4 linked regions of the Oryzias latipes genome follow. The protein of the gene in region 1 purifies or fractionates together with the protein of each later gene. This does not show direct contact. Links are inferred from orthologs where the notes say so. Each region holds a gene or a part of one and is shown on either strand. Other genes may lie near its edges.

The links. Proteins that work in one complex are often made in the same cells at the same time.
Region 2: the proteins of fam96b (region 1) and ercc2 purify together in Homo sapiens (affinity purification with western blotting; 3 studies listed by BioGRID and IntAct, with this or other methods). This does not show direct contact. The link is inferred for Oryzias latipes from reciprocal best matches to the Homo sapiens genes CIAO2B and ERCC2.
Region 3: the proteins of fam96b (region 1) and cdkal1 purify together in Homo sapiens (affinity purification with mass spectrometry; 3 studies listed by BioGRID and IntAct, with this or other methods). This does not show direct contact. The link is inferred for Oryzias latipes from reciprocal best matches to the Homo sapiens genes CIAO2B and CDKAL1.
Region 4: the proteins of fam96b (region 1) and fbxl5 purify together in Homo sapiens (affinity purification with mass spectrometry; 3 studies listed by BioGRID and IntAct, counting the BioPlex papers as one, with this or other methods). This does not show direct contact. The link is inferred for Oryzias latipes from reciprocal best matches to the Homo sapiens genes CIAO2B and FBXL5.

What each region holds. Positions count from the first base shown.
Region 1 is NC_019873.2:4,895,019-4,902,302, forward strand, and holds the start of fam96b (mitotic spindle-associated MMXD complex subunit MIP18), read left to right. Parts: upstream 1-2,903; 5' UTR 2,904-3,020; coding exon 3,021-3,147; intron 3,148-7,284.
Region 2 is NC_019871.2:4,133,132-4,140,495, forward strand, and holds the start of ercc2 (general transcription and DNA repair factor IIH helicase subunit XPD), read left to right. Parts: upstream 1-2,739; 5' UTR 2,740-2,910; coding exon 2,911-2,915; intron 2,916-3,093; coding exon 3,094-3,193; intron 3,194-3,310; coding exon 3,311-3,388; intron 3,389-3,456; coding exon 3,457-3,519; intron 3,520-3,590; coding exon 3,591-3,704; intron 3,705-3,780; coding exon 3,781-3,897; intron 3,898-3,984; coding exon 3,985-4,101; intron 4,102-4,800; coding exon 4,801-4,924; intron 4,925-5,000; coding exon 5,001-5,097; intron 5,098-5,634; coding exon 5,635-5,768; intron 5,769-5,833; coding exon 5,834-6,002; intron 6,003-7,364. Other genes in the region: cdc42 effector protein 2, read left to right, coding at 111-938. UniProt on the Homo sapiens protein: ATP-dependent 5'-3' DNA helicase. Component of the general transcription and DNA repair factor IIH (TFIIH) core complex, not absolutely essential for minimal transcription in vitro.
Region 3 is NC_019874.2:11,053,957-11,061,201, forward strand, and holds the start of cdkal1 (threonylcarbamoyladenosine tRNA methylthiotransferase), read left to right. Parts: upstream 1-2,620; 5' UTR 2,621-2,757; intron 2,758-2,926; exon of another isoform or gene 2,927-2,950; intron 2,951-3,418; 5' UTR 3,419-3,582; intron 3,583-7,239; 5' UTR 7,240-7,245. UniProt on the Homo sapiens protein: Catalyzes the methylthiolation of N6-threonylcarbamoyladenosine (t(6)A), leading to the formation of 2-methylthio-N6-threonylcarbamoyladenosine (ms(2)t(6)A) at position 37 in tRNAs that read codons beginning with adenine.
Region 4 is NC_019862.2:28,338,390-28,345,765, forward strand, and holds the start of fbxl5 (F-box/LRR-repeat protein 5), read left to right. Parts: upstream 1-2,751; 5' UTR 2,752-2,802; coding exon 2,803-2,886; intron 2,887-3,426; coding exon 3,427-3,642; intron 3,643-4,875; coding exon 4,876-4,971; intron 4,972-5,066; coding exon 5,067-5,262; intron 5,263-5,807; coding exon 5,808-5,993; intron 5,994-6,113; coding exon 6,114-6,239; intron 6,240-6,449; coding exon 6,450-6,604; intron 6,605-6,695; coding exon 6,696-6,778; intron 6,779-7,376. Other genes in the region: vesicle transport protein SFT2B-like, read left to right, coding at 676-711, 829-887, 968-997, 1,089-1,128.

The DNA of each region.
Region 1 (7,284 bases):
ACACAAAACTTTCTAAGTTGCACAAAAAACTTTCTAAGTTGCAGGTGAAAATATTAAATATTTGCTTTTCAATAATTTATTATTATGCTTTAATATATTTTTTTTGTTTTCAATTTTTTTTTTGCTTTCAAAAACTTTTTTTGTCTTTCGAAAACGTTTTTTGCAAAACACATGTTTTTGCGTGCGTTGTGTCAAATCTCGCTTTTGTCCTATCTTTGATTTTACTGCCCAGTTTGAGCGGGACTTAGCGTGATATGACTGCCACTGGCATCGCCAAAAAGAAATTTGCATGCGTTGTGTGTCATCTCACTTTTTTTCTATCTTTGCTGAGTTAAGTTTCGGTTTGACGTGACAAAGCTGCCATCGAACAGCCTGCTGATTGGTCCAGATTCTAACCAATCAAGTGTCTCTATCTCATATTGACGGTACTCTGAGGCAGACATGGACTTTGGACTTTGTGTCGGTTCTGTTCGTACAGGGTTCTGCCGTTTTCAACCATTCTGACCCGTTTCTTTCAGAATAAAACCCAGAAGGAGCAGAGTTTTGTATTTATTTATGTCAGTGTAGCGACCAACGTGTTAAAAATGTCTGCAGCAGAAAAAAACATATCAGAGCTCCGACTCCGTCCAGCAGGGAAGCAACACTTTTTAAGATTTGTATCTGAACTATTGTTTTATTTTAGTCACTAATTGTTGAAATATTAAGAGAAAATAGCATTTTTTATGACCAATATTTTTTAACTTTGGACAAGTTCTAAAACAGAAGACACTGTCAAAATGATAATAAAAGTTAAAAATGCCTCTTCTGTTATATACGTTGAGTCTACTATGGTGAGCCATAATTCTTTTGCCTATTATTGCTGTTCATCTGATCCCAAACACGTGTGCAGCATGATCTGTGAGTTCACACCACATGTGTAACTAAAAATCACGTTTGTGAAGCACTTACTGTGCATTTCTGATACATTTATTGTGAATTTCTAAAATGTTTTTGTGAAAAACAGTGTGCACATTTGTGAGAAACACTTATTGTGCATTTGTAAAACATTTAGTGTGCATTTGTGAAACACAATGTGTGTGTTTGTGAAACACAGGGTGTGTATTTCCGAATTTATTTTTCACGTTTGCATAAAATGACATTTGTGAATCGGAGCGTGTGTATTTGTAAAACCGGTTGTGTGCATTTCTGATTATTGAGACTGAAATAACTCCATACCAGTGGCAGTCATATCACGCTAAGTCGCGCTCAAAGTGGGCAGTAAAATCAAAGATAAGACAAAAGCGAGATTTGACACAACGCACGCAAAAACATGTGTTTTGCAAACGCAAAAAACGTTTTCGAAAGCAAAAAATACGTTTTCGAAAGCAAAAAAAAGTTTGAAAGCAAAACAAAATTTTCACCTGCATCATGGAAAGTTTTGTGTGCAACTTAAAAAGTTTTGTGTGCAACATAGAAAGTTTTGTGTGCAACTTGGTGGCAGAAATATCACTCCATATATTTCAAGCAATCACAATGACGTATCAAACTTGGGATAATTAGACATAAAATTAATTATTGCTTGAAAGTGGAAGGAAGCGAATTTATATAATCCCACCCCTGTTCTACCGTAACCATTTTATTATATGATTTCTCATGTAATAAATTAAGAATCCTGAAGTATCAATAAAGCACATGACAAAGATGAATTACTTAAAATATTATGTAAAAAAATAGATAGGAGAGCATAACCCCTCTCCTATCAAAAAAATGTCTCGAGATGGTAATTCACGCTTTAATTTGTTCCCACTTGGACTATTGTAACGCACTCTACACATGCCTTTCACAGCAGAGTGTGTATCAACTCCAGACTCCTAACTGGAACCAGAATGAGAGATCATATCACTCCAGTTTCAGCGTCTCTGCACTGGCTCACAGTCCATTTTAGAATAGATTTTAAGATTTTAATGATTGTTTTTAAAGCCCTCTGCTGTCCGGCCCCTAAGTATCTGGTTGTTCTGCTTGTTCCTTATGTACCTGGACGCAATCTTAGATCTTCAGCAAAAGGCCTTTTAACAATCCCACAATGCAGATTGAAGACCATGGGAGACAGAGCCTTTGCTATAAGAGCCCCAAAACTCTGGAACAGTCTCCCTCAAGGGATCAGGCTCACTGAGTACCTACCAGTTTTAAATCTCTTTTAAAAACCCACCTCTATATGCGTGCGTTTAATGATTTCACTGGTTCTTAAATTTAAACTTATGATTTTATTGATTTTTAACGCTATCACTGTTTCGTGCTGGGTTTTATTTTTACGTCCGGTACTGTTTTTAATCAGGATTCTGTCTTATGTTAATTGTACAGCATATTGTAATCTGGATTTCAAAAAGTGCTATATAAATAAAGTGGATATATTCAATATATAAATATTGGACACTAATGACAGATGGAGGGATGGATGACGAGTGAATGAAAAGAGTGGCTGGCTTTGCCTCTGTTGAACTTTAACAGTTTAGTTTCTCCTCCGTCTTTGATCCAGTTATGACTGTCTGATCCCCTCCCATCCAGCAGGTGGCGGTATATAGCATCTACATTTCAGGTTTAAGTTTCCCTTTAATGCATTGACTGTATAATTCTCAATTACTGTCACTGCTTTAATGATGAAAAGTCTGTCTACTGGTAGAAATTAGACCGATAACAAAAGCATAGTTAATTTTGTTATTGTATTCAGCTGATATTCTGTACTATTGCAGTTATGATAACTCATTGCGAAATTCGTTTTTATTGGTTTAGTTCAGGCAATAATAATAACAAAGTTATTAATTGTATTCGTTAAACTAATAATAGTGGGTTTGCTGATGGTCTTAGGACAAAATCATTCAGCATTTGTTACTTTAATTTTCCTCGCAGGCTTTTTGTCCGCTGCTGCTATCCGTCATACCCGGAAGTGCTCTGTGAGAAGGTCGACATAATAAAGCAACACGACTCCGCCTGCATACATGGGCAGTTGAATGTTTAGTGCTGATTGACGAACATAGTGAAAAATGTCCGGAGGGTCTCAGCTGGAGAACGCTAACCCCGTCATCTTCCAGCGGTCCGGGGAAAGGCAGCTGACGGCGGCCGACGAGGACGAAGACGTCCATGATCCCATCGACGACCGGGAAATATTTGATATCCTTTTTAATTTAAAAGCACCAACTTAATACAATATTCGTTTTAGTTACAATCCCTGGTATTTGTACGAAATCTCAGGATCTCTTTTTCTTATTTTAAGATTACACAATTTGACAAAGTTTGGCATATATATTCCACAAATCTGATAAAAAGGGCGGTTTGGAGCTTGAAAACATTTAAAGTCCCACTCCGATCATCCTCTGGTCTGTTTTGAAACGTCCCCAGTGGGTTTTTAGTAATGATTATACTGTTCTTAAACAAAATCAGAAAACCTGTGTCGTTTTGTGGGACGTAGTTTCTTCAGAGCGGCAGCAGGAGTTCATTAGAAATGTGACTGTTGGCATGGAAAAAGCCCCCCTCCACTCCCCGTCATCCATCTGTTTACATGCTCTCCCCTAGCTTACAACCACTCACAACAAACCTGGTGAGTAATAATGAAGCTCTCTAGTCGAACAGTTTAGATCCAGAGTCCAGCTCAGACGAGGAAAACAAAGACATACAAACAAACCTGTTTTGTCCCTTACGGGGTCACTGCTGGAGCCTATCCCGTGACGGCAAAGGACGCCCTGGACAGGTCGCCAGTCTGTCTCAGGGCCACAATCACACACACTAACATTCTCACCTAGGGACAATTTCGAGTGACCAATAAACCTATGAAGCATGTTTTTAGACGGTGGGAGGAAGCTGGACTTCCTGGAGGAAAACCCAGCCGGGACTTGAGCCTGACCCCCCCCCCCCCCCCCCCCCCCCCCCCCCGCAGACCTGCAGGTGCATCAGAATGGAGCAGAGCAGGAGGACTGTGGCATGGCCCGCGTATTTTCCACATCACAAATACGATCTTTTCCAAACAGTATAGAATTATTCAGAAACGTGCAATTGAGCTTAATTTTCTCTATATATGTCCTCCATCATGAGAAAAAAGCCACAATAATGTGTTAAAAACACCATTTTCGTCAATGTGGGTTTTTTAAACAGTTAAATTCTTCAAATTGTCAGCAAAAACAGTGAGAAACAGTTGTTTTGTTGTAGCGTAAGGAGGGGGGATTCTTTAAATTGTCATACTATAAAAGATGAGGTCTATTATAGCTACAATTAAACTGTGAGAGACAGAATGTAAAAAAAGGCAGGAAATCACACAGTTTGATTTTTAAATAATTTATTTGTTTAATGATCCAGAAAATAGGCATTTAGTCAATAATTAAAGTTTGTTCCAATACTTCATAACTGGTTTTGAATGACAGAAGTCAAACATTTTAGATTTTCATGAGATTTGAACAAACTTTCGCTGCTATTTTGGCCCATTCCTCCATGCAGATCTTCTCGAGAGCTGATGTGATGATGTGGAGCTGTAGCTGGAAAACACAGATTCTCTGTTGGACTGAGGTCCAGAGACGGGCTAGATCCCTCCAAAACCTTCAAAAGCTTTTTATCTGCTGGTTTCCTGGGTGATGTGTTTGGGATCCTCAGAGCCATCCATGTATCATCCTTGGCGTTTTCACTCATAGCAGGAGGTTTTCGCTCACGTTCTCACTTGACTTCATCCTTTCCTTCATATGGATCAGTCCCCCTGTCCTCTTTATGGTTTCACCCTCATGCTTCACAGTGGGTATGGTATGCTTGGGACTCAACCCAGCATTCTTTCACCCTCAAACACAGCGAGTGGCGTTTATTTACTCTACAATCAACTGCTTCTTTATTGTAGATTGGTTCATTCCAGTTTTTCTTCCAAGTCTACAATTGTGTCTCTGGTGTCCTTTGACAGCTCTTTGGTCTTATCCATAATGGAGAGGTCTCAGTCTGACTGTTTAAGGGTGTGGACAGGTATTTTTTTATACAGATCACCAGTTAATACAGGTAACAAGTGGAACACATTTCATTATACAAATACATTGTTTAAAAATCATATTGTGAATTTATTTTTCCCTCTTTGTTTTGTAGATTCTGTCTCTCTCAGTTGATGAACAATACAGTCTAAACTCATCTCTTTAGGTGGCACAACTTGCAGAATCTTTTTTTTTCTTTACTCCAACTATTTCGAGTCTTTTTCTCATGGAGCCATAAGTTTAATTCAGGCCCGGGGGGGGTTGACGGGTCGGGGTCTCCGCTGAGGCCATCGGCGGTTTCCCCGGCCGGTTGGCTGCCTCGGTCCCGTCGAGGCCTGACCAGGGCTCTTCTAGGGCCGGCGTTTGGGGGTGGGGGCCTGGGCTTGCTCCGGGGGGGGGGTGACGCTTTCTGGCTCCTCTCTCTCTCTGTGGGGTGGGTGGTGCTGGGCCTGGGGTGTCGGCGCCTCCGGGGGTGGGGCACCTGGGCTGGGTGGCCCTGGCCCCTTTGCTGGGGGGGGGGCTGGGGGACAGCTGTTTGACCACTGGGGGACAGTCTACCAGCTGTCCCCAACTTACCCCCTTCCTCATATAACCTCATATTAGGGTGAGGGGGTGGGGGGTCTAGCCTGCGATGCGCCTTGGGGGGGGGGCTACTTGGCAGTGGCCCCCCTCCTATGGTTGCCGTACGGAGTGGGCCCCCCCTCTTTCGGTTTTATTTGCACCTTAGACATGTAGGGTCCTTGGTAGGGGGGGTGCTTGGACATCACTGCCAGCAAGCAGCAGATGTCCTCCTGGCACCCTACCCGCCAATTTTAACCGCACCTTAGACATTTAGGGCCCCTTGGTGGGGAGGGTGAGGGGACATCACTGTGAGTAATCAGGAGATGATGATTAGGAGATCCCCTTAGTGCCCTTCTCGCCAATTTTAACTGCACCCCCCTTAGTACACACACCCCTCCCCCTTCAATATATACATTCCAACATAAACACACACACATGCACACACACACCCTTTCAAACACACATACACACATTTTGCAAGGAAGGTGGGACCTGGGTCCATCTGTCCCCTGCCCCTTCCCTGGTGGGGGGTGCGGGCCCCTTGGCGATGGCGGCCGTGTCCCTTGGGTGCTGGCTCCCTGGGCCCGGCGGTGCTCTCTCCGCACGGTGGGGGGGTTCATATTACACCTGAGCCGGGGGTGTTCGTGTCCCTGGGGGGTGGGTCCTGGTCCTTGCCCCTGAGCGCTGGGCCCCGCCAAACTTCCAACATGGCCGAGCCTGGTCGGGCCATATTTATAACACCCCTTGTGGGCCGCCCTTTTTTCCCCGGGGTTCCCCCCTCCTGGGCGGGGGCGGCGGGCCCCTGCCTTGCTCCTCCCTGGACCAACCGTGGGCCGGGCGGATGGCTGCCTGGAGTGCGGAGCGGGTCTGCCTTGGGGGGTCCTGGCTCGTACCTGGGGTAGGGGCGGGGGGATGCCCGGAACTCCTGGGTGGTGGTGGGGTGCTCGTCTGGGGCTGTGGGCGTCCTTCTCCGGTGGGGCCCTGCGTTGGGCGCTCCCGGCGCGGCGGGGGGGGCTGCTCTCCTGGTTGGGCTGGGGCGGCGCTCTCTCTCTTTCCCTCCGTGCCTCCCTGCTCTCTGGCTCTGGGGGCCTTGCGGCGGTCCTGCTGGCCCTGGCCTGGGTGGCGGGCTTGGTCGCCCGGGCGGCGGTTGTTCCCTGCCGGTTCCCGTGTGGCGTTGGGGGGATTTCGGCTGCCGCTGCTGCTGCGGTGGGGGTCTTGGGGTGGGGATGGCTGGGCACTCTCCCTCCTTCTTGTCACGTTCCACCATCCATTTTAGCAGAACATAAACACTCACCTGAGCACAGGTGTTAGCTCACCTTTGGGCTAATAGTTTGCACGATTGAATGACTGAAATATTTCACACTAGTTGGTTTTAAGGCATAAGTATGCGTGTGAACACTATCTGTTTTGTGTACATGTCGACAGGTGGACATTTTTGCAGCTAGCAGGTGTGTTTATAACATTTGACTGTGTGTGGACAGGCCCCGCCCTTTTTGTACTACATTTGAACCTTACCATAATGATTAACAACCAGTAAACTTGTTGCTCTATGCTGCTTCATGGTCTTACCCCCCTTCCCCTCCTATTATCACCCTCCTACCCCCCCCCCCCCCCCTCTCTAACGTCCCTCTCTCTTCTTCACCTCTTTCCTTTTCCGTCCGGTCCAACACCAAAGATTTTCAAACATGATTGAAATTAATAAAGTTTGGCCTCAATTACAAAAGGGGTTTATTCAGACATACCTTTGGTT
Region 2 (7,364 bases), on another chromosome or scaffold:
GCAGCTGATCAAAGGTCACGACCTTCCTGCCTGGAGTCACATGTCAGCCTGAGGCCGCTCTGAGGCGCAGACTCTTCCACAGCCTGGGATCGTTTTTAGTCTGACCCGACATGCCTGCAAAGACGCCCATGTACCTGAAAACCACCACCCCTAAGAAGGGGAAGAGAGTGAAGCTCCGGGACGTCCTGTCCGGTGACATGATCAGCCCGCCGCTGGGCGACGTTCGCCACAGCGCCCACGTGGGGCCCGACGGCGAGGGTGACATGTTTGGTGACGTGGGCTTCCTGCGGGGGAAGATGGACATGCTCCCGTCCCTGAGCCGCGGGCCGAACGGGCGCTCGCACAGTGCGGAGCGCCACGCGGGCGATGACCTCCCCGACAAGGAGGAGGCGCACAGCTACGCCTACAACGGCTACCACTACCAGCACTCCTCCAGCGGCCTGCTGAAGACCACCATCTCCATGCCCGTCTTCATCGCCCACGAACAGGCTCCACCCAAACCGCCCCGCCTGCACCTGGACGACTCCTCCCCCACATCGTTGCCTCCCCAGCAGGAATCCTTGTGCGGGAACGGCACGGCGCCGGATCCCTGCCGTGACGTATCGGTGTCGCACGCCATCCGCAGACTCGTCCCGTCCTCTGGGTCCTTCTCGGAGGCCTCCTCCGAGGACTCCATGTCGGAGAGCGGCGGGCCCCCGGACGTCCGGCGGGGCCTCAGTCTGGACTCCGACGCCGGCCTGAGCAACGAGGACCTGCGGAGCGAGCGCAGCGAGTCGCCCAGCGCCGCCTTCCATCCCGCCGGACTCACGGCCTCCAACCACGTCTCCAGATCCAACTCCATCTCCGGGTTAGACCTGGATCTGGGCCCGTCCATCCTGGAGGACGTCCTCAGCATCATGGAGCGCTACAAGAGTCTGGAGAACCGCTGCGAGCTGTGAGGTTCCTCCAGAACATCCCCATCATCAGAACACTCCCTCCCCTCTGTTTGGACTCTCCTCTGCCTGAGAACCTCCTGCTAATCTCCAGACTGATGGCTTTCCTCAGACAATTCTGCTGCAGGTCTCTTCCACGAAAGCCTTCAGAGAAACGATGAAGGTTCTGTTGGGTTTGTTCTTCGGTTCCATCACGACACTCGGATCCTCAAGCAGCAGCAGCACCTTTTTGTTTTGGTTGTTTTTGGAAAAAAAAACCTCAGGACATTTTATTCAGACTGATGATGAAGAAGCTTTACTTGTGAGAAACTTGCTGCTTTTAGACTCAAATACGGAACTTTTTTTTAGAAAAAAAAAGAGAAAATTCTGTGTTTAAATATCCATGTTCCCAACATTGAAATGCTGTAAATATATCTCTGTAAATCTTTGAATTAAAGGATTCTGATGAAAACAACACGGTGTGACGAGTTTCACGCATAACAAAACATTAAGAACAAAAAAAAAATAACAGCAGCATCAGAATCAACAACAGCAGTAAAATGTTCATGCAGTGAAAATCTAAATATAGTCTGTGACTTTATTTTGAAATCCTGCAATAGGACCAGTCAGCCTAATTGAGGTGAGTTTCAGCTATTTTTCCAACTAAAACCAATCGGTGCACATTTTATGGACAAAGGATGTCATAAACATGTGGAAGTTGAGCACAAATCTTCATGACTTTGTTAAATGTTCATTTAAATTCTTGGAAAATAATAGAAAAGGTGTCAGTAGTTGCTCTGTAAATCGCTTTTATTAGATTAACAGAATCACACTTTATTTTATTTACATTTTGGTTTTTGCAACAAAATGGGATTAATATAAGAAATGGACTTTAATGCTGATGAAATACCGCCCTCTGATGGCCGTAGTGTAAAGCTGCAGTTTTGAAATAAAAAGCAGTGAAATAAACACATTAGGGCCCGAGCAGAGGGATTGCAAGGACTCTATGGTTTTTAAAATGTTTATTATTATTCCGAGTAAAGACTCGCCTATTTGAGGCTTAAAAAACTAACCAATTTTTGCACACGTCTCAGAAGTTGCGAAAATGTATTAGAATAAATGAATGTATTACGTGGTAGACCGGCACGGGTGCATAAAAATGGCTCGATAGATTTATCTCAAATGCACACAGACAGGCGCACACAAGACTTGCATAACCAAAATTGTTGAACAGGGGTGTAAAAACAGCACCCATCCCCACATTAGTGTAAAAATATTCATCAGAGTTAAAAACTGATGCCTAACTTTGAATTCTGAATTCAATGGCGTGCTTATTTTTTTCATTTAAGGAAAGATGACAAAAAAAGAGAAACTTCTTTTTCAATTTAAAAACAGAACATTAGAACCAAATAATCTCCTGTAATCATCTTCGTATTTTAGATTTTTAACACAATTTTTCGACTTATATTTGTCGATTAAAATACAAGACTAATATTTGAAAAAGAATGAAATTCTGAAATTAAAAGAAAAAATCAAAACATTGAGGGGTCTGACGTCACATTTTCTAACGCTGGTTGAAGTTTGAGCAGGAGCTGAACATTGTTGCCCTCTGCTGGGGAAAATGCACATTACAGGCAAAGAGACTTTTTTTCGTATGTTTCACAGAGGGGCTTTATTTAGTATGGAAGCATTTCTGTTGCATAATTCAAAAATAAAAGCATTTCTGGTTTTGACTTTTGTTTTTGAATTGTGCAACAGAAATGCTTCCATAAAAGAATGCCTTTTGCATGTGACTCTTCTTAATGTTCCTGCAGTTCTTCTTCCTGCCTGCAGGTGGTAGAGCGTTTAGAAACGCCGGCAACAACAACAACAGTAGAAGAAGAAGAAGTCGTTAACATTTTGGTGTTCTCTGTGTAGTTATCCTAAATCTGTTCACTTTAAAAGGACCAATCTGTCGTAAATCAAAGACGAAAGTTTTTGGAAAGTTTCTCTTTAGAAGATGAAGTGAGTTCTTTTGTTACTGTGACGTAAACAAAAAGTCTAAACCAGCACGTGTTGATGCTAATGCTAATGTTTGGTTTGTGTTGACAGAGCTAGCAAAGAAAAGTTTTTCGTCTGTTAAAGTGTTTGCGTGTGTCTGCATTGGGCTGTTTTATTCAGTCTGTTTGCTGTTTGGTCGCAGGTTGAACATAGAAGGTCTGCTGGTGTATTTTCCGTATGATTACATCTATCCGGAGCAGTACTCCTACATGCTGGAGCTGAAGAGGACCCTGGACGCAAAGGTGGGCTTCTTTCACTCGGGTGTTAGATGGGTTTCTGGGAAATGTAGTGCGGTAATTTCATAAACCAGGAAAACTCACTGGAGACGGTGAAGTGACTGTGTTGTGTCTGCGTTTCAGGGTCATGGAGTACTGGAGATGCCTTCAGGAACAGGGAAGACCATCTCCCTGCTGTCCCTCATTGTGGCCTATCAGAAGGTGAGTCCAGCTCTGCACCTTCTGAGCCTTCATGGCGACAGCTGCTCTAAGCTTTATTTGATTCTCAGGCGTTCCCGCTGGATGTGACCAAGTTAATCTACTGCTCCAGGACAGTTCCTGAGATCGAGAAGGTGAGTCTGACCCCTCCGCAGCCAACGACGAGCAAATCTCCAGGAGCTTTTCAAGTCCTCCGCTCATCTAGGTCGTGGAGGAGCTGAGGAAGCTGATGGAGTTTTACGCTAAAGAAACCGGAGAAGTCAACAACTTCCTGGCTCTGGCGCTGTCTTCCAGGAAAAATCTCTGCATCCATCCTGAGGTAAAAACCCTGAAAGCTGAGGGTTTCCGTGCTTTCTGGAAATGTTGATCAAACAGGAAGCTCCCTCGTCCATCAGGTGAGCTCTCTGCGCTTTGGGAAGGAGGTAGACGGGAAGTGCCACAGCCTGACGGCGTCCTACATCCGGGCTCAGCGCCACAGCAACCCCGACCAGCCTGTCTGCCGCTTCTACGAGGTAGAAAATCGCCTCAGCTTACGGGAAATCGGACCGCATGAACGTCAACGTGGCTGAAGCTCTGCGAATGTTGGGTTTGTGTCTCAGGAGTTTGACGCCGTCGGTCGGCAGGTTCCCCTTCCTGCCGGCATCTACAACCTGGACGACCTGAAGGACTTTGGCAGACGAAAAGGCTGGTGTCCTTATTACCTGGCTCGGTATTCGGTATGTAACCAAGCAGAGGCGCTCAGCACGTGCCTGACCTTTAACCCTTTCAGGGACTGAATGGATCTGGAGAATGTTTTCCTTTGTGTCCATTTAACCAATTCCAATTAAAATCCAGATCAAAGCAGCCCAACTGCGCAGCTGCAGCTGCAGCTGCAGTCAGGTTGCTCAGACACCTGTCAGTCCGTTTCTGTAAAGGACTGGAGGATTTTTCATCAACGACTGTTAATCTGTTCGATCTAAGTCCAAACTTTGACGTGGTCGTCACAGAAACTTGATGTTTGATCCATTCAGCAAACCTCATGCTGCCGCAGAGCTCTGGAGCTTCAGATGGACTTTCTTCTTCGAGATTTTCCCTGAAGAAGTTAAAATTTATGAAGTAGTCGGTGAAGATGAAAAGCTGCCCCTGACCATCACACAACCACCCCCATGCTTGACTTCTCTTCTGATGTCCTTAGTTTGACCACAGCTTCCAAGAAACGTCATGACAAAGAGTCATGACCTCTGACCTGAACCAAGTCATGTGACCTTCTCTCTGCCTTCTGCTTCTATATGGCTGTGTTCTTGAGAAAGTTAAAAACGTCACTATTTACCAAAGAAAATAATCCAAACTCATGTTTAGTTTGTGATTTTTAATGACTGTTGGCATTAACTTCATGTTTTTTTTTTCTATTTAAAATCTCATTTTTCTGTCCTAAGATTCTTCACGCCAACATTGTGGTGTACAGCTACCACTACCTCCTAGACCCAAAGATCGCAGATCTGGTGTCCAAAGAGCTCGCCAAGAAATCGGTGGTCGTGTTCGATGAAGCTCATAACATCGGTAAACCGTCTCTCTTTAGTTTGTTTCATTTTTCTTTTCTTCCCCTTCATCTTTTTTTGTCCGCTTCGTTCCTCAGACAACGTTTGCATCGACTCCATGAGCGTGAACATCACCAGGAGGACTCTGGACCGCTGTCAGAGCAACGTGGAAACACTTCAGCACACCATCCAGAAGTGAGACGCAGCCCAGTCTGCTTTTATCCACACCAGGACGAAAAACATCTGGAGTTTTCTGCGTTAAAACCCCCAAAAATTTGAGCTGTAAAACCCTAATGGCACCAGGAATTGTGGGTAATGGAGTTTCTGTTTGTCATTAACCATAAATCAGACTCATCCATATTAAAAAAAAAAAAAAGCTCAATTATGAAAGGAAATCAAATTCAAATGTTGATTCTGAAAACATCAGAGCTTGGAGTCAAAACTGTTTTTTTTCTTATTTCTATAAACATCTTTGGGTGGAAAAATAAGACGCTTCTGTTTGATCCAAACTGAATTAAAGAGAAAAATCCTGAAGTTTCCTGCCTCTAGGTTCAAGGATTTTTTCTTCATCCTGGAAGTGTCGGTTAATCAGCTGGTCCTCCATATGGAGAAATAAAAGCAAATAGGCGTGTTTTTATTACCATAATCTGAGAATTTCTGTTAAATAATTTCAGGAATCGGTCATGTGTGCTTCATTCCAGCTCCTCTCATCCGATTCGTTCTCATCTGCAGGATCAAGGACACGGATGCCGCCAAGCTGAGGGAGGAGTACCGGCGGCTGGTGGAAGGGCTGAAGGAGGCCAACGTTGCCAGGGAGACGGACGTCTACCTGGCAAATCCGGTTTTACCTGATGAAATCCTGCAAGGTTGGAGCTCGGTCTGGCCGTGGGGTTCTGGTTTCAGAACTCAGACTAACGCTTCTCCCCGCCAGAGGCCGTCCCCGGCTCCATTCGCACCGCCGAGCACTTCCTGGGCTTCCTGCGGCGATTCCTGGAGTACCTGAAGTCCCGCCTGCGGGTCCATCATGTGGTTCAGGAGAGCGCTCCCCAGTTCCTTAAAGACATCTTCGAGAAGGTCTGCATCGACCGCAAACCTCTCAGGTCAGTCGGCTTCAGGTCACACGGGGGAGGGGCCGCAGTTTTCTCAGGAAACACGGATTTTCTGTTTCACCATTTAGAGCGTCGGTATCATTCAAAACCAACTTTTAGGTGTATTTTAATGTTCATTCCTCACAATAAACAGTATGTTGGTCCGTTTACGCATTTCTGAGCATTCCTCTAAAAACCTGCAGCTCCTCCCAACCAACGAAAACGGGCGGGTCTTCGCATTGTGACATCACAAAGTGAGGACCAGCCCCTTCCAGGAAGAGTCTGCAGTGCCAGCCCCGCCCCCAGGCTAACACACACGCCCACTTTCTCCGTGGAGCTAGCGGTGATCGTCTAAACGCTTTCCTTTTTTATGAACATATGCACGTCCATCTTTGCAAAAGTTCTGCCGAGGCGTCTCGGATGACATCATCACATAGGCGGCGCCCACAAAGAGCCGACCTTTTTGTATAAAGTGTTGCATGTCAGCACAAGACTTCTGTTCACCGCACCAGAATCCGCTGGAATTACGATCATTGCGTAAACGGTTGAAGAGTTAAGGTAGTCAAAGAAATGTAAAGATTGGAGCTAACGCTCAGCTGTGAAAAGGTTTAAAAAAAACCTGCATGCGTTTCTGCTGCTGCTGTTTGTGAGAATCGATTTGTGGAAACGTTCTGGAGCTCAATCTGTCTGTCCTGTCCATCTAATATCGGCCGTGTCTCACAGCCGCTGTGGACGTTTTCGTGGTTCATACGTGATGGGAGTTTCTCGTGTTCCTCATTTGTCGACGCGCGCAGACGTCAGTCAAGGATTTCAGCCGATGGATTTTTACCAGAGTTTGGTTTTGAGCTGGATGAGAATTACACAGTTTCTACGTATCTTAAATTATTACATAAATCTTACACAACTGTGCGTGATTTTTGCGAGATTCACAGATTTGTTGCTTTCCGCGACCGTTCCACGTATGTCTAACGGACTTTTCAGTATATATATATATATATATCAGGTATACGGCGCACAAATCTCATTAAAATAGCGTAATTGACCCACAATTCACTAACGAATTGCATCTAAACAGCTCAATAATCACACGGTTCATGCTCTACGTTGATTAGCGTGGTTCATTCCTGATACATCTGTGCAAATGTCACCTAAAGACTCAAACTTCTCTCACTTTTTCCACACATATGACCAATTTTCATCTGTGCAATATGCACAAAATGTATGTAGTTGCTGTGTGACAGACTTTTTAATCCTGTCTATACAGAAATCCAAAGCAGCAGAAGAACCGACTCGTCTCATCCTGTGATGATGTTTTTCTCGCCCTCAGAATCTTGAAGTTATTCTTTCGTGTTTATTTTCCACAAACGGACATCA
Region 3 (7,245 bases), on another chromosome or scaffold:
CCCTGCTGTTTTACACGGGTGGTAGAAATGTCTGAGTTTGTCTCAGAAACCAACAAAAGCAGCAACCTGTCTTACACCTCCCCACACCACGTGGCATTGCACACGTGTCCTGGTTAATAATTGGATTTGGCACAGCAGTATGATCACTCAAAATAAAATATGAAAAGCAGGAAAAACCTTTTTTAGAAGAAAAATCTCTGTAGATGAAGTTATGGCTGTTTTAGTCTAAAAACCATCATCTGTAATGTGTTCCTGCCATGTGCTATGGGGAAGAATTGTTTTGAACTGGGTACACCAATGGTCTGTGATTGAAGGCGTATACTGTTTTTATTGCTTATTAGGCTTGTTTGTGTGCAAATGTAGAGAAAAAAATTAGAAAGTAAAAAAAAATTTTTTTTTAAAGTATTTGCTACCCATCTATTATGACTGCAGGTAATAAACGGTTATGTGTGGAGAGCAGAGGTTTCTGTCTGCAAAAAGGATCCCACAATAGAGCGTTATAGTATTGTGCTCTAAACTCTTTTTTTTTATTTTTAATGAAGCATCGATAGTCGACGCTCTTTAACCACAGAGATTGCCATTTCTAGTCAATTTGTCCTAAAAGAACCTTCAAAACTTTTGTGCAATGATGGAGAAATTTTGCTTAGTTTACACTAGAAAAAGCCCCCTCCCCCCTGATGATGATGAGGATGTATGAACATCTCTTACTTCTGTCATTCAGGACTAAAATGTTGAGGCCTGTTGCCATGGTGACACTTTCTGTAACGTGATGATGAAGTTGGGTGAAAGGCTGTCCTGTTTAATATCTGTCCCTGTTTTTGTTTTGTGTTTTGGTTGAAAGTAAATGCATTGTAGAATGTTAAGCTAGCTTTATGGTCAGCTAAAAACGAAGGATCGCCGCTAAAAGAGACTCAATTTAAACACGGGGAATCATTTCATGGTGGTTCCCTAGAGAAACACGTCAGACAGGTAATCTTTCTGCTGCTAGTGTTGACTTTTACCCAATTGCTTTTGGCTTGAGCTGTTGTGTGTGTGAGTGTGTGTGTGTGTGCAGGGTAATTAAGTTATAACAGCTCCAGCTTGCAGAAGAGTTGGCTAGCCTGCAAGTTGATGTACAGTTTTCTATTTCTCTTGTTTTCCAACGCACATGGTACTATAGGCTACCTCTCACTAAATGTTGAGCAGCAGTTAGTGTGTACAGGGCAATGCCATTATGAGAGACGCTCTCAAGCCCCCACTTTTTCATAAATTCTGCTTCCTGTGAGTTTAGAATTTACACTCAGGTGTAAGAAACCACATGTAAGCCCCTTGTCGCACTGTGATCTATATATTTGTTCTTTTCGGAAGGATGGCAAAAAATATAATGTAATTCCTAAGAAATTTCATCTTATTTGTGTGCAAAGGTATTTTTCTTTTTCTTTTTTACTCTAGAAATGTTCTTACAAACACCCTAAAACTTATTATTTTTAAAGAAAAATCTAATACTGTCATCAAAAGCATCCCAACTTCTCGATGGAGCGAAAACTAGTCAAACTAATTTGAATGCACAAAAGTGTCCTCTTCTATGGACATTTTATTTTTTTATTTTTTTCCACAAACCGTGTGTGTTTTTAGGTTTAAGATGCATCCCCCCCCCCCCCCCCCACACACACACACATCTGGTTCTTGGACTTTAGTGCCACGCTTTACCACTTGTGTAGATAGAACTTTCTGCCATTTATTTCAAGCTACCAGAATCTTATTGAAATATTTTTGTGGTGGACATGGGAATTTTTGGAGCGATTGTAGTTTTTTCACAGATTTCCAATGGAATGTTAAAGATTTTAATACACCACTAAAGCTAGGGTTTTATATCATGAGTGAGTTGGTGTTTCTGCTTGTTTTTCCTATGGTATGACTGTTGCCAGGAGCTTTGTGGCAGTGAAAGAAGACTCCCAGGCTTTTGTTGTGGAGTTTGCATGCATTTCCTGGGTACTCTGGCTTCTTCTTGCAGTCCACAAGCGTGTGTATGATTAGGTTGATTGTGTAGTCTTGAGTTGTGAGTGCGTGCGGTAGTTGGTCTCTGTGTGGCCTTGTGATGGATTTTGGTGTCGGTGACAGCTGGTCTGCTGTGCTGCTGAACATTTAGGTGGCTATAGAATAAAAAGTTTATATTTGGGTCTTTAGAACTTGCATAAACTTAGTATTAGACTAAATCTAATAAAGTGTAATTCAAACTGAAGTGGCATTGATGGACACCAAGAAAAAAAAAGGAAAACAAAAACTCGTGTTAAACTCTACTATTCCATAGGAAATCAACTTTTCAGTAACATTTCAATATTGCTGCCTTGTTCAACCAAATTCAGAAACTTTACAGTCACGATGCATGAATGAAAAAGCTGAAATTTCAAGTAATTGTCGATTAGTTACAATTTTGATATCAGTTAAATGAGAAATTTAAGTTTTGTATGTGTGCGATTGAAAAGATTTGTTTTTGTACTATGGGTATTTGTTATTAAAAAAAATGAATAAAGGAAATATAAACTACAAATTGTTTTGTTTATTTCTTGTAGCAGTATTAATTTGAAGTCATTAAATCGCGCTCAGCATTTGAACGCTAAATTTTTGTCCCTCCCGTCTTTCCGTCTATTTCCGAGAATGGCGCAGGAGAAGTTGTGACAACTGTCCTGTGGTGTAAACAACAGCAGTTTATCAATTGGGCGCATATTTGACCCGAAGATTGGATTCATTGGACAATATAACCACATTACGATTCAGGTAATTTACACAAATAGTAGATACAACTCTTGTGTTTTACAACTGGTAAGGCACGTGGGCAAGCTGGCTAATGCTAACGGTTGTCCTATAAAATTGTACTACAGTTATCCGTGTTTTGACACAGGAATTGCATTCTAAGTTACTCAAGCAAGGGTAGTGCCGTTACTGACTTGCACAAATATCACATAAGAAGGTTGGAATAGTTTTTTTTAATTTTTTTTTTAGAGCCAAATCGTGTTTACCTGTTGTCTTTTTCAGTTTGGCTTATAGTAAGTTAATTTAGACTACGTTGACGGGATGACTAAAGAATTGTTTTGTGTTTCTTGTGTATTCTAAATATTTGTTATATGTTTTATATTTGGAATCGGTTACTTTAAGCAACCAAAACAAAAATAGAATTAAGAAGATAGACCACAGAAATGTATGTGTATATATCTTCACATAGGCATATCTAACTTAGGATGGTTGTTCATGAACTGATTAGAAAATGTATATTCATACTTGTACATGTAGATGTAAATCATTCAAATATAATTACTCTTAATCATAAATGCACGTGCTAATTTCAGATAAAATTCTTTGAATGATTGCTTTTAACAGAGCTAAGTTATCTCTGTGGATTCTGAGTCGTTCTTTATAGAGTCGAACTGTGATCTTTCAGATCATCATGCCTTCCGCCTGCGACCCCGTGATTGAAGATATTGAGGACATGGTGTCTTCCACGGACCCCACCCCCCATGAAAGACAGTCTGCGAGAAAGAACATCATACCAAGGCCCAAGAAGAAGAAAGAGCTTCTAAACGACGAAGAGCTCCAAGCTGACAGGTACGCCAGAATATGCTTCATCTGACTTCATCTGATCTGAGTTTGAAACTGACAGTTTCTAAAGATTGTACATGTAGACTGAAGGACTTCAAGTATTCATTAAAAATAGTGCGTACGTTTATGTTAAACATGGGCCCTGTGGTGTTTGTCTCTAGACTTTAGTGTTCGTGAACGGCCATGTCTGAAATGGAGGTATGTTTCAGGGTATGTCAAGTTGCCATGGCAACTCATGCTCTGAACATAACCTGGTCTGGAGCAGGTTTAGTTGAAGGTTAGTTGGTTTTCAGAGAGGTGAAGAAGCTTGGCGTGTCCATTTGAAGATGATTTAGTGGATGATGATGAAGAGTCGGTCAACACACTCTTAAAATGCATTTTAGACATTGAGTCATGGATGGCAGAGAACTTCCTACAGCTAAACCAGGACAAAACAGAGGTTTTAGTGATCGGTTCTAAGGACAAGAGAGAGATAGTTTTATCTAAACTAAAGAATTACAAAACTTCTCAGTGTGTGAGAAACCTGGGTGTCATTTTTGCCTCTGCGATGAATTTTATCCCACAAATTAAAAATATCACAAAAACAGGATTTTATCATCTAAAAAATATAGCCAGAGTCCGCCCATTTCTCTCTCTTGCCAGCACAGAGGTGCTAATGCATGCTTTTATTACCAGCAGATTAGATTATTGTAATGCTCTGCTCTCTGGTCTTCCCAGAACAAGAATAGCAAATCTTCAACTGCTGCCAAATTCAGCAGCACGCGTTCTGACGAGGACCGGGGGGCGGGGACACATTGCACCGGTTTTAAGATCGCTGCATTGGCTCCCTGTGCAATTCAGAATTGATTTTAAAGTTCTTTTATTGGTTTACAAATGTTTTTATGGTCTCGGGCCTTCATATTTATCTGACATGATTTTAAAGTATGAGCCCTCGCGGACCCTGAGGTCCTCTGATACAGGCCTTTTGGTTATCCCAAAAGTTAGAACAAAAACGTACGGCGAGGCCTCATTCAGTTTTTACGGACCTCGCCTGTGGAACAGCCTCCCAGAGAGCCTCAGGGCTGCAGAGACAGTTCATGTTTTTAAAGGAAGGCTTAAGACCTACCTTTTTAATTTAGCTTTTAGTTAAATTTTAGGATTTATTTATTTATTTTTTATTTATTTTTTTCTTTTAACTAGTTTTATATGTGTATGTAAATACATTTATTTATGTATTCTATTAATTTTTAAGTTGCTCTTACTATTTCATATGCCTATTAAGGTTTATGTAATTATTTGTTTTTTGTCCATGTTTTATATATACTTAAATTTTATTCCTTTTACATTTTATTACACTCCAGTGTTTCCCTCTGAGGGATCCTCCACATCGGTGACTGACCCTTCTCAGTGAACTGCTGCAGTGGGATCTCCTGGGTCTGACTCTTTTGATCGGATCTGGGGGGTTCTGTGGTAGTGTTCTCCGTGAACTTGGGTTGGGGGGTCGCTGATGTGGACATGTCCCCAAAATATCGTTTCCCCACTTCAGGACAAAGCTTGGTCTCTACATTCTATCATTTTATCACTTTTTTATTTATTTATTTATTTTTTGATGTGTGTGGGTGTGTGTGTGTGTGTGTTTTTGCGGGGTGGGGGTTGTCGCACGGTTTGTCTTGTCATCTTGTTTTCAAATTTTATTGTTTTTTATGCACAGCACTTTGAGTGACATATGTTGTTGAAAAAGTGCTATATAAATAAAGGTTGATTTGATTTGATTTGATTTGATGAAGAAGCTCAGATAATACTTTTTCCACTGTGAGAGGGTGATAAGACCACATATGGATGTTGGAAAAATAAACTATGTTGATCTAACTTAATTATTTGCTTCAGTTAAGATAATTAAAAATCATTTTTTTGTTAAGTCAGTTTAAAAATAACAATTTGTTTTCAGACAGTTATTTTACTTTCATTCAAATTAATTCAATTAAGTAGGTGTAACTTTGGTGCTGCTGTTAGATCGGCACCGCAAGGGATTGTGGGATACCATTCCCTTTGCCTCTCTGGACGGATTTGGGTTTAAGTGTGGGTTTTTGACCAAATGTGTTTAGTTGTTTAGCTGTTTTACTGTGTTTTGCCGAGTTACTTTGTCCCACTTTGCTCAAGTCTCTGCACCATGAGTAAGAGGGAGGGAGAGGATGATGAGTTTATATAGCACCCCTACAGCCAAATGATGTAATGACAATGTCGATGAATTCTTAAATGGATTTACTCTCCAAATGTGTATCGTTCTGTTCTTTTTATTGTTATAAAAATGAGCATATCTGCCGGCTCAAACTTAGACATTTGAGAGTTCAAGAATTATTATTCCTTAAGGTGGAAACAATAATAATTGAATTGGAGTAATATGACATTTAGTTAAATAAATCTGTAAATTTGAGTTGAATAAACACTAATTAAGTTTTATAGACCTAAGAAAGTAGGTTGAATAAATTTAACTCAATTACTTGTTACCAATAGTACCAAGTAATTCATTTAAGTTGGCAAAATTGGATACGTTTTAAATATATGCTTCACAAGGAAAATGGAAATAAGATCAGAAACTCGTGCGTTTACTTTGTCTGTTCTTCTACTACAAGCAAAACTCTTTCTTCTTCGGATGCAGCCGTTTTACTTTTTTGATGGACGTATAATCTTCATAGCCGTCATTAATCTCAGACTCAGTCTCACTGAAATATAGCGCTCTCTTTTTTTCACCACGCGTTTCCATGGTGACTCCAGAAATTGGCGTTCCATTGAGAAGGTTTTTATGTACTTGACGTGCACCCGCATTAACCCAGGGTTACCAAGTCGAGCGTAATTACGCCAACTCATATCTGGTCTTTTGGAACTGACACACCCAGAGTAAGCAAGTTCAGGCGGATTTCAGCCAGAGTTCAGGGTTAAAGTCAGGGTAGTTCAAACATGCTTCCTGGAATACCCCCCAGGTATCTTAGCTGATGTGGACGTGCCTCCCACACCACAAAGATCCTCTATAGCGACAGGCATCACACTCATATCATTTAGTCATGCTCAAACTCAGGCGGAAATGGTGCTAATGCTGTCGTCTGGAATCAACTTTTAAATTAGGCATTCCCTTGAACATTCAGTGATCTCCAATGAAAAACTATTTGTCTTCTTGTGAGACTAAAGTCGGTATTTCTAGAAAACGTGCTTCTAAAAATATTGACTTGGGCATTCTTGTCGTTCATGTATGGATTTATGAATTGTTTTCCAGCTGTAATTTTTTTAATAACACATATCTTATTATTTTATTTTCCTAGTATTAATGGACTCATTTTACAGATTTAATTGATCACCAGTAGGCCTTTCAGTAATTTCAGAACATCTACGAAAATCAGTTCTACAAAAGTGAGTGATTTATCAAATTGAATGCAGTTTGTCTGTATGACTTTCCCATCACTAAGCCTCTGGAAAGGACACTGCAGCGGTGCAGCTTCTCATCAGCTTTCAGTGTTTGTTGGGTTTAAGTTTTTGTTAAAAGCCAGAAAGAAATCTTTTAGATTCTCAAGCCCTTTTCCTATCGACCGCTCTGCAACGATGCAGTAAAGAGAAAACTGAATTCGAGAGGACATTAGTGTTTAAGGAGAGCAAAGATTAGATGAAGATCCCTGTTTGCCTCTGTTTCAGTGTAAT
Region 4 (7,376 bases), on another chromosome or scaffold:
ACCGGAAAAGGAAAGGCATAAAAGCGATTTTATCAACCCAGCCCTAAGTCTGAAGACTTGCTGTTGAAAACTTCTTAATTCTGTCCTTTTCAACGTTGGCTTTATCTTTATTAATGAACTAATAACACAATGTAGTTATATGCTTACACTAGTCTGCCATTGTAGATTTTAAAAAAACAATCTAAAGCCTTGTTTGAGCAAAATAGATTCATTCTGTTTTATACCTGCGCGTCCTAGAAATATCAGAGGCTGCTCTAACATTTTATAAAGTATTCATGAAAAAATAAATTTTAAAATGTTCAGGAAAAATAAAAACAATAATTTCAGCTCAAGTATGTGAAAAAAAGTGTTTGTTTTTCTTCTAAAAACCAAAGTTAAAAATGATTATTTCATAGCATATAAAATGTTCAACATAAATTAAAATGTCAATGTGAACAGAAAGTTGTGTATTTTCCAAACAGGCACTTGATCCATTTGGTAAAACAGATCCACCTGTTGAATCTGTAGATGCTTCAAATAGTACTTTGGGATCATGGTGGATGCTGGACCTCCACTTTTGGAAGGAAGCTATTGAAACACATTTAGAATGAAAGAAAATATAGATTTTTAACATACGTAATGCTTTTTATGAGGACCAGATTTCTTTGTTGCTAATTTGGTTTAATATCTTTTCAGACGTGCCTTGTTTTGACTCTTTGTGCAGCGTTCTGGGTGAGTGATCTTCGTCGCAGCAGTTATAATGCCTTCTTCCTCATAATAATAATTAAAGTTTGTGCGCTTAAGGATTTGATGTCTGCCTTTTATAGAGTTTCTTCCTTTTTCTTTCAGTGGAAGAACTTCGGACTTGCTTTGCTATTTTGCATATTGCAGGTCTTGTCGTTTGCCTGGTGAGTCCAACCTTAAAAAAAATTCCAAAGCTGGAAGATTGTGCTCCCCTGTGACTTCAAATGTGTTTTTCTGTCTTCAGGTACAGTCTGTCATACATTCCATGTGTGAGGTTAGTCTTTCCTGTCATCATGTGTTCATATTAAACATGTATGTTTGCTATCAGCAGATTGAAGTTGACCAGTCTCTGATTTATTTTCCAGGGAGGCGCTCTTGAAGCTGGTTTCTCTCTTCCTAAAGTGACCTTTCCTTTGACGTGAAGGCTTGTGCTGCTTGAAGTGTCTTTGAAAGAAAAGGACCAGTCATTTGTTGAAGTTGACAATCTTCCTTTAGAAGACAAAAGTTGTTCTTTTATACACTGCAGAGTTTGTCCATTATTATTTAATTATTTCCTTTTTGTTAAAATACATTTTAAAAACCCTTACTTTTTTGTGCCATATGTGTAAATACGTGTAATAAATGTACATATTAAAGATTTTATAAATCGCCAGATAATAGCCTTAGTTTGATGACTGAGGGGACTTTCTGCATTCACAAAACCTAACTGTAAAAATTACATTTTTATTTTTTTGTTTCCACATTTTCTGAATATGTATTAACCTTTAGTCAGCCACTCATAAAAAGATTAATTCTGCAGTTTTACAGAGTTATGGGGCTGTGAAATATGCCTCTGCTTTTTATTTTTATTTTCATAGTTTAGTCATAAGTACAAGACGGTAATCCTTTACACAGGTTATTTAATGATTTAAGGTTTATTTATTTTGTTTGTCTCTAAGACACACTTGTATCTTACATGCGAGAAAAAAAGATTAGTTTTGCACGTAAAATGTGAGGCATCAAAATTCAAAACCTTGTCACAGTAAAGCTCATCAGGGATTTACTAAAAACAAATTCTGCTTAGGCGATGTCATAAAAAGGTGTTCCTTATAATAAACACCTCTGGTACTAAAAGAGTGGCTTGCTAAAAAAAACACAACAAAATATGAAACAAGTTAATGCAGCTGTAAAGAGCATTTAATTACAGTGGTGCAGGGTCAGATTCATGGTGAAATAATTGATTATGCTGTTTAACAGTCTGCAGCCTTTTCTCTTCCTGCCAATAACAAAAACAAAAGCGATACTAACTGTACAGCCACAGGATTTTTCCCTTGGGAACTAAAAAGACACTTTAATATTATCCCACGGGGTAATTTAGCCTTTTTTTTAACCTTGATGAGGAAAAAAATAGCATTTATCATGTGGCAGGACAGCAAATTTTACGCTATTAATAAAACAGAACATTTCAAGTGGGATTTGTTAATTTGTTTCGCAAGATGACCTGATGAGACCAGCCTGTGTAAATTATAAAGTGAACACCTTTCAACAAAACAATTTCAGCTTTTCAGTTAATATCCCAGATCAAAATGAGATTTATTAAATATACCTTTTCTGACATACTGACTGGATACACAACAGCACAGGTGTGCACTGCAACATAAATTCAATTTTACTATGATCTTTATTAAAACACAAATGGAAATATATTTATTTAGCCTGTATGTTAGAAAGAAAACGAAATAAACAAAAAAAACAAATTTAGATTTCACATGTACTACTGACAAATTTAAATATGTCATGTGTAAACGTATAATAAAAATAACGAATTTAACGAAATATAAAATATGAATTTAAATACAAAGAACGTTATTTAATGTAGTAAACAAATTTAAATGTCATCATTAATCTCTACACAGCATTACTTTAAAAACAACATCTTGCGTACACGTATACGCTGTTTTTTTCCCCACATTCAAAACGTAAATAATCTACAGCTGTTTGTGTGAGATCTGATACTGCGCAGACTCGTGGTCACGTGACCAACACCAGGCCCGCCCCCGAACCGAGTCTAGGCGCTGCAGATGACGCAGTCCGGTGAAGATGGCTCCCTTTCCAGAAGAGGTGGATGTTTTTACCGGCCCACACTGGCGGATGAAGCAGCTAGTGGGACTGTACTGCGAGAAGGTGCGTTTAGAAAACAAAAAACAACAACAAAAGAAGTGTTTTACGGGGTATTTTGATGGTTTGTGGTCAAATTAGGAGGGAACGGCTGCTAGCTTGTTTGCTAGCTTTGTGTTACGTGACCCGTCGCACGATTGTGTCACGTCTGCCTCGATTCTGTTTATTGTTACGTGGTGCTTACACTTAGATAAGTTCATCCTGGATCCTTACGGGTTTCAAAGTGATTTCCAGCAGATCTTCTATCAGTTGTTTTGTTAGCCGGAATCGCAGCAGGATTTGTTGTGCAACGTGTTGTTACGGGGCGGCCTCACATGCTTTAATTATCGGACACACATATTTTCACCCTTAAGCGTTAGTGCCTGTATTATCTCGCATCCAATGATATATATATATAATCTTCTTTATGTGATGTCGGCTGCGCTTACGTTAGCTGGTGTGGCTACATCAGTGTGTTCCTCCTCCCTTGTGGTAAAATCATGTGAAAAAGTTTGGGCTCCACAGTTTTTATTATTTCATTCGAGTCTGTTGTTTTTTCTTCCACAGCTGTCAAAAACTAACTTCTCCAACAACAATGATTTCCGCTCCTTCCTCAAGTCTCTGTGCGCGACCTTCAAGGAGTTCAAGATGCACGAGCAGATTGAGAATGAGTACATCATTGGCCAGCTGCAACAACGTTGCTGCACAGTTTATAACGTGCACTCTGATGACAAACTGTCAGAGATGCTGTCCCTGTTTGAAAAGGGGCTGCACAATGTCAAGGTAAATATGCCAAAAACCTACATTTCTTTCATGCACTCGATGCAACTAAATAACCCCTTCAGCAAATGCATGCATGCACCCGCTGATCCACAGTGTGTAGTAATCTGTTATTAGAGTAACTGTCAGGCTAACCACTAACAAGATACTAGAGCAACATCAGAGCTGTCATTTTGTTGGGATAATTATAATTTATTGAACAGACACGAACTTTAGCCTTTGAAGAACAGTAGATAAAAAGTTATTGTTTTGGCTCAAGCCTCCAGCAAACTCCAATCTCAGCTGCTTTCTTGGATTCGTGAATTTGTGTAAATTGGAACATCCGCTCTGCCAAACTCTCTAATATCTCTTTATTTAGTTTGGAGTGAGATCCTGCTTCCTGTCTGAAAGTTTCTACAGATATTAATTTGCAGCAGAGACTTATTTGTAAATTGTTGAAATATCTGTTTAAAAAAAAAGCACAAAACATTGAGTGTGGGAAGATTTGACTCGTATTCACAATCTCTGATCATCTAAAAGTCTAGCTCCTGTGGCAAACCATTGGGGAGAATAAATTCCAATTAAACTTTTCTTGTTGCAGTACACCTCAAAGAAAAAATAAAACAATAAAAATAATTGTAAAAATAGTGCGATAATAATAATAAAAGCCCCCAACACACATTCGCAGGATACAGAAACCAGCAGAGATACAGTCCATGAATCTGTATTAAAACATGTGGAAATGTAAAACTTACTTGTAAAACTTAAAAGCTAAGCTGAAAAGATTACTTAAGGTTTATCTTAAAAACCTCCACAGAGGATGCAGCCCTTGCATCAGTAGGCAGGCTGCTTCACTGGTGAGGCCCACAGTGCTGAAAATGTGGGCTTGCCATGGCTTTTTGTTCTGACCCTGGGGATCACCAGCAGACCTGCACCTGAGGGCTCTAGGATGGTTATAAACTAACAGTTCAAATTCTATTAGAGACCCAGCCCGATTATCCTTGGTCTATTTTGAAAGTGTTCCCGGTGGTCTTTTAACTATAGTTATGCAGGTTTTTTCTTTACAATATTGGAGCTGACCGGCTGTACAGTCGTGAGCCGGAAGCCAGCTCAGACGAGGAAAACAAAGAAGTTAAATTTTCCTTGCGCAACTTTTAGAATCATGCAAAATACCTAAAGCGTGGTAAACGTCTGCTTATGACTGTCCAAGAGCAGCTGATCTAAGATCTGGGATTTCTGTCTGTTCTGTGGTTTTAGAATGAATGTGAGCAGCTTAACTATGCTCGTCAGCTGAAGGAGAGACTTGAGGCGTTCACGCAGGACTTCCTGCCCCACATGAAGGAAGAGGAGGAGGTACAAGATAATCATGCGGGATAAGCAATAATCAAAAATGTCACCTGTTCATCCTTTTCAGCGTCAAGCTGTGTTTTAACGGAAATGTGTTGCAGGTGTTTCAGCCGATGCTCATGGAGTACTTCACCTACGAGGAGCTGAAAGACATCAAGAAAAAGGTGATAGCCCAGCACCACAGCCAACAGCACGGGGACTGTGCTGCCGGTGTGCTGAAGGGATTCCGTCTGTGGTCGCAGGCTGAGGAGCTGCAGAAAGCCTTTAAATATTCGGATCATGAGAAGACAGACTACGGTGAGTGTTTGTCCAAATGACTAAACTTGTTACAGGTTTCCAGTTAAGTGCATGACAAAGATGAGTCAAGCGTCTGTTGAAGGCCACACACTTCTTTTTTTGTCTTATCTTCAGTCATGTTTTAAAAAGGCTTTTTATGTAATCCAGCAGAGAAACAGTTTTTTTTTTAAATGAACAGCAACAGATAGATATTATGACCCGTTACCAAAATATGAGACTAGTTAAGGCTTTATTTGGGGTTAGTTGTGTTCAGCCCTCTAATGAACTGATAAACTGTCCAGAGTGGAGCCCAACCATAGCTGGACAGGCTCCAGCATCCCTGTGACCTATGACAGGATTAAGCAGACATAGAAAATGAATGAATGGATGGAGTTGTGTTCGTCTGTGATAGGAAACACAATTAGCAGGATACTTGAAGCCTTTTTTTTTTTGCTGTAAAATACCAACAATATTTGTACAGAACATGGATTATTTTGAGATAATTTTATCATTGTGGTATTTAAAACATTCACATGCTCTTCTTTTTTTCCCCCCTCCATCCTCAGACCTGGAGAAGAAGCAGAATATGTCAACCAACATCTCACACCTTCCTGCAGAAATAATGCTGAGGTTGTTCCATTATTTGGGCCCTAAGGATCTGTGTCGCTGCAGTCAGGTGTGCAGTTTGTGGTGGCAGCTGGCCAAGACCGGCTCTTTGTGGAGGCACCTTTACCCTGTTCGCTGGGCCCGAGGTAAACCTCAATTCATGGTTTTCATCTTTTCTTTTTGAACCAAGTAGTTGTTTTTCCTGGTAAAGATGATCTTGTAGATGCTTAGGCATCCTTGTTTCTAAAGTTTTTTTTAAAACACAGGCGATCATTATAATGGCCCTCCTGGGGATCTGGATCAGGAGCCAGATGAAGAGTGGGTGAGGAGTCGAGAGAATGAGGGTCGAGCTTATCAGAAGTGGGACGAGGACGCTGATATTGACGAGTCAGGTGAGGGCCAATAATCACTTCAAACATGCATGAGCTGAACGTTACCAGGGTCATGTGTGTGTGCTGTGAATAGTTTCATCATGACTATTGTTTTTTCCCCGGGTTTGAGTGGGGAAAAAAAAGTTCCAATGTTGAAGGTGGATGGACCTGCAGTGTGTGGTAGTTTATTGTGTTCATGAGGTAGTGACTAGATAGTGTTCTTCTCGTCAGATGTTTCGGGTCACACAGAGGGCTCGCTTGCTATCAATATGGTGCAGAGAGAGAAGAAGCTCCTGAATGGGATCATCCAGAACCTCCTCCCTGCTGTGGGTCCGTCAGTCAAATCCATTATTCTGGCCTACAGTTCAACAGTCTCAAGCAAAATGGTATGCGGCGCTTGTCCAGTCAGAGTTGCATTGCTGCCATGAGATTTGATGGATGTTAAGCTGAGCCTGAAAGCTTAAATGTCTTTTCCAGGTCCGTCAGATGGTCAGCCTCTGCCCCAACATCACTCATCTGGATCTGACTCAAACTGATGTGACAGACTCTGTGTTTGACAGGTACAAAATACTTCCTTTAAATTAGAATCTGGTTCTGTGGATTGAATGGCGACAGAATTGACTTCATTTGGTTGGAGCTGGAAATAAATCATTTTCTACGGATGACATCACAGTCAGTCGGACCACTTCTTCAGGGGTCATCATTACATCGATTGCGATAAAGGACATGTGGGTAGATCACGCGCCATCATAGATAAAAAAATCCCCCAAATTTAAATGTATATAATTAAATTAGCGAATCAAAATCCTCTCCAAGAAGTATATGACTTGATTGACATGCAGAAAGGCCAATAGAACACCCTCTGATACATGCATCACTCCACACGTGTGTTTAAATACACTGAGAACATTGTTTCTGCCCCACGGCGCGTCAAGTCCCCGGCAGAGGACCACTCTCGCCCACAGGAGTGTTAGTTGAGGCCCGGGTCGCCCCGCGTGCCTCTTCGATGGCGAGCGAGACCGTCTGACTAGGCTGTCCTGCCCCTGCAGCTGCTGCCGGCTCCGTGGTTCCCGTATTATTATGTATTACTACACAAATAATATTACACACAACAAAGCTATCTCTTCATGAAGATGTAGTTTTTGAATTTTCAACGAT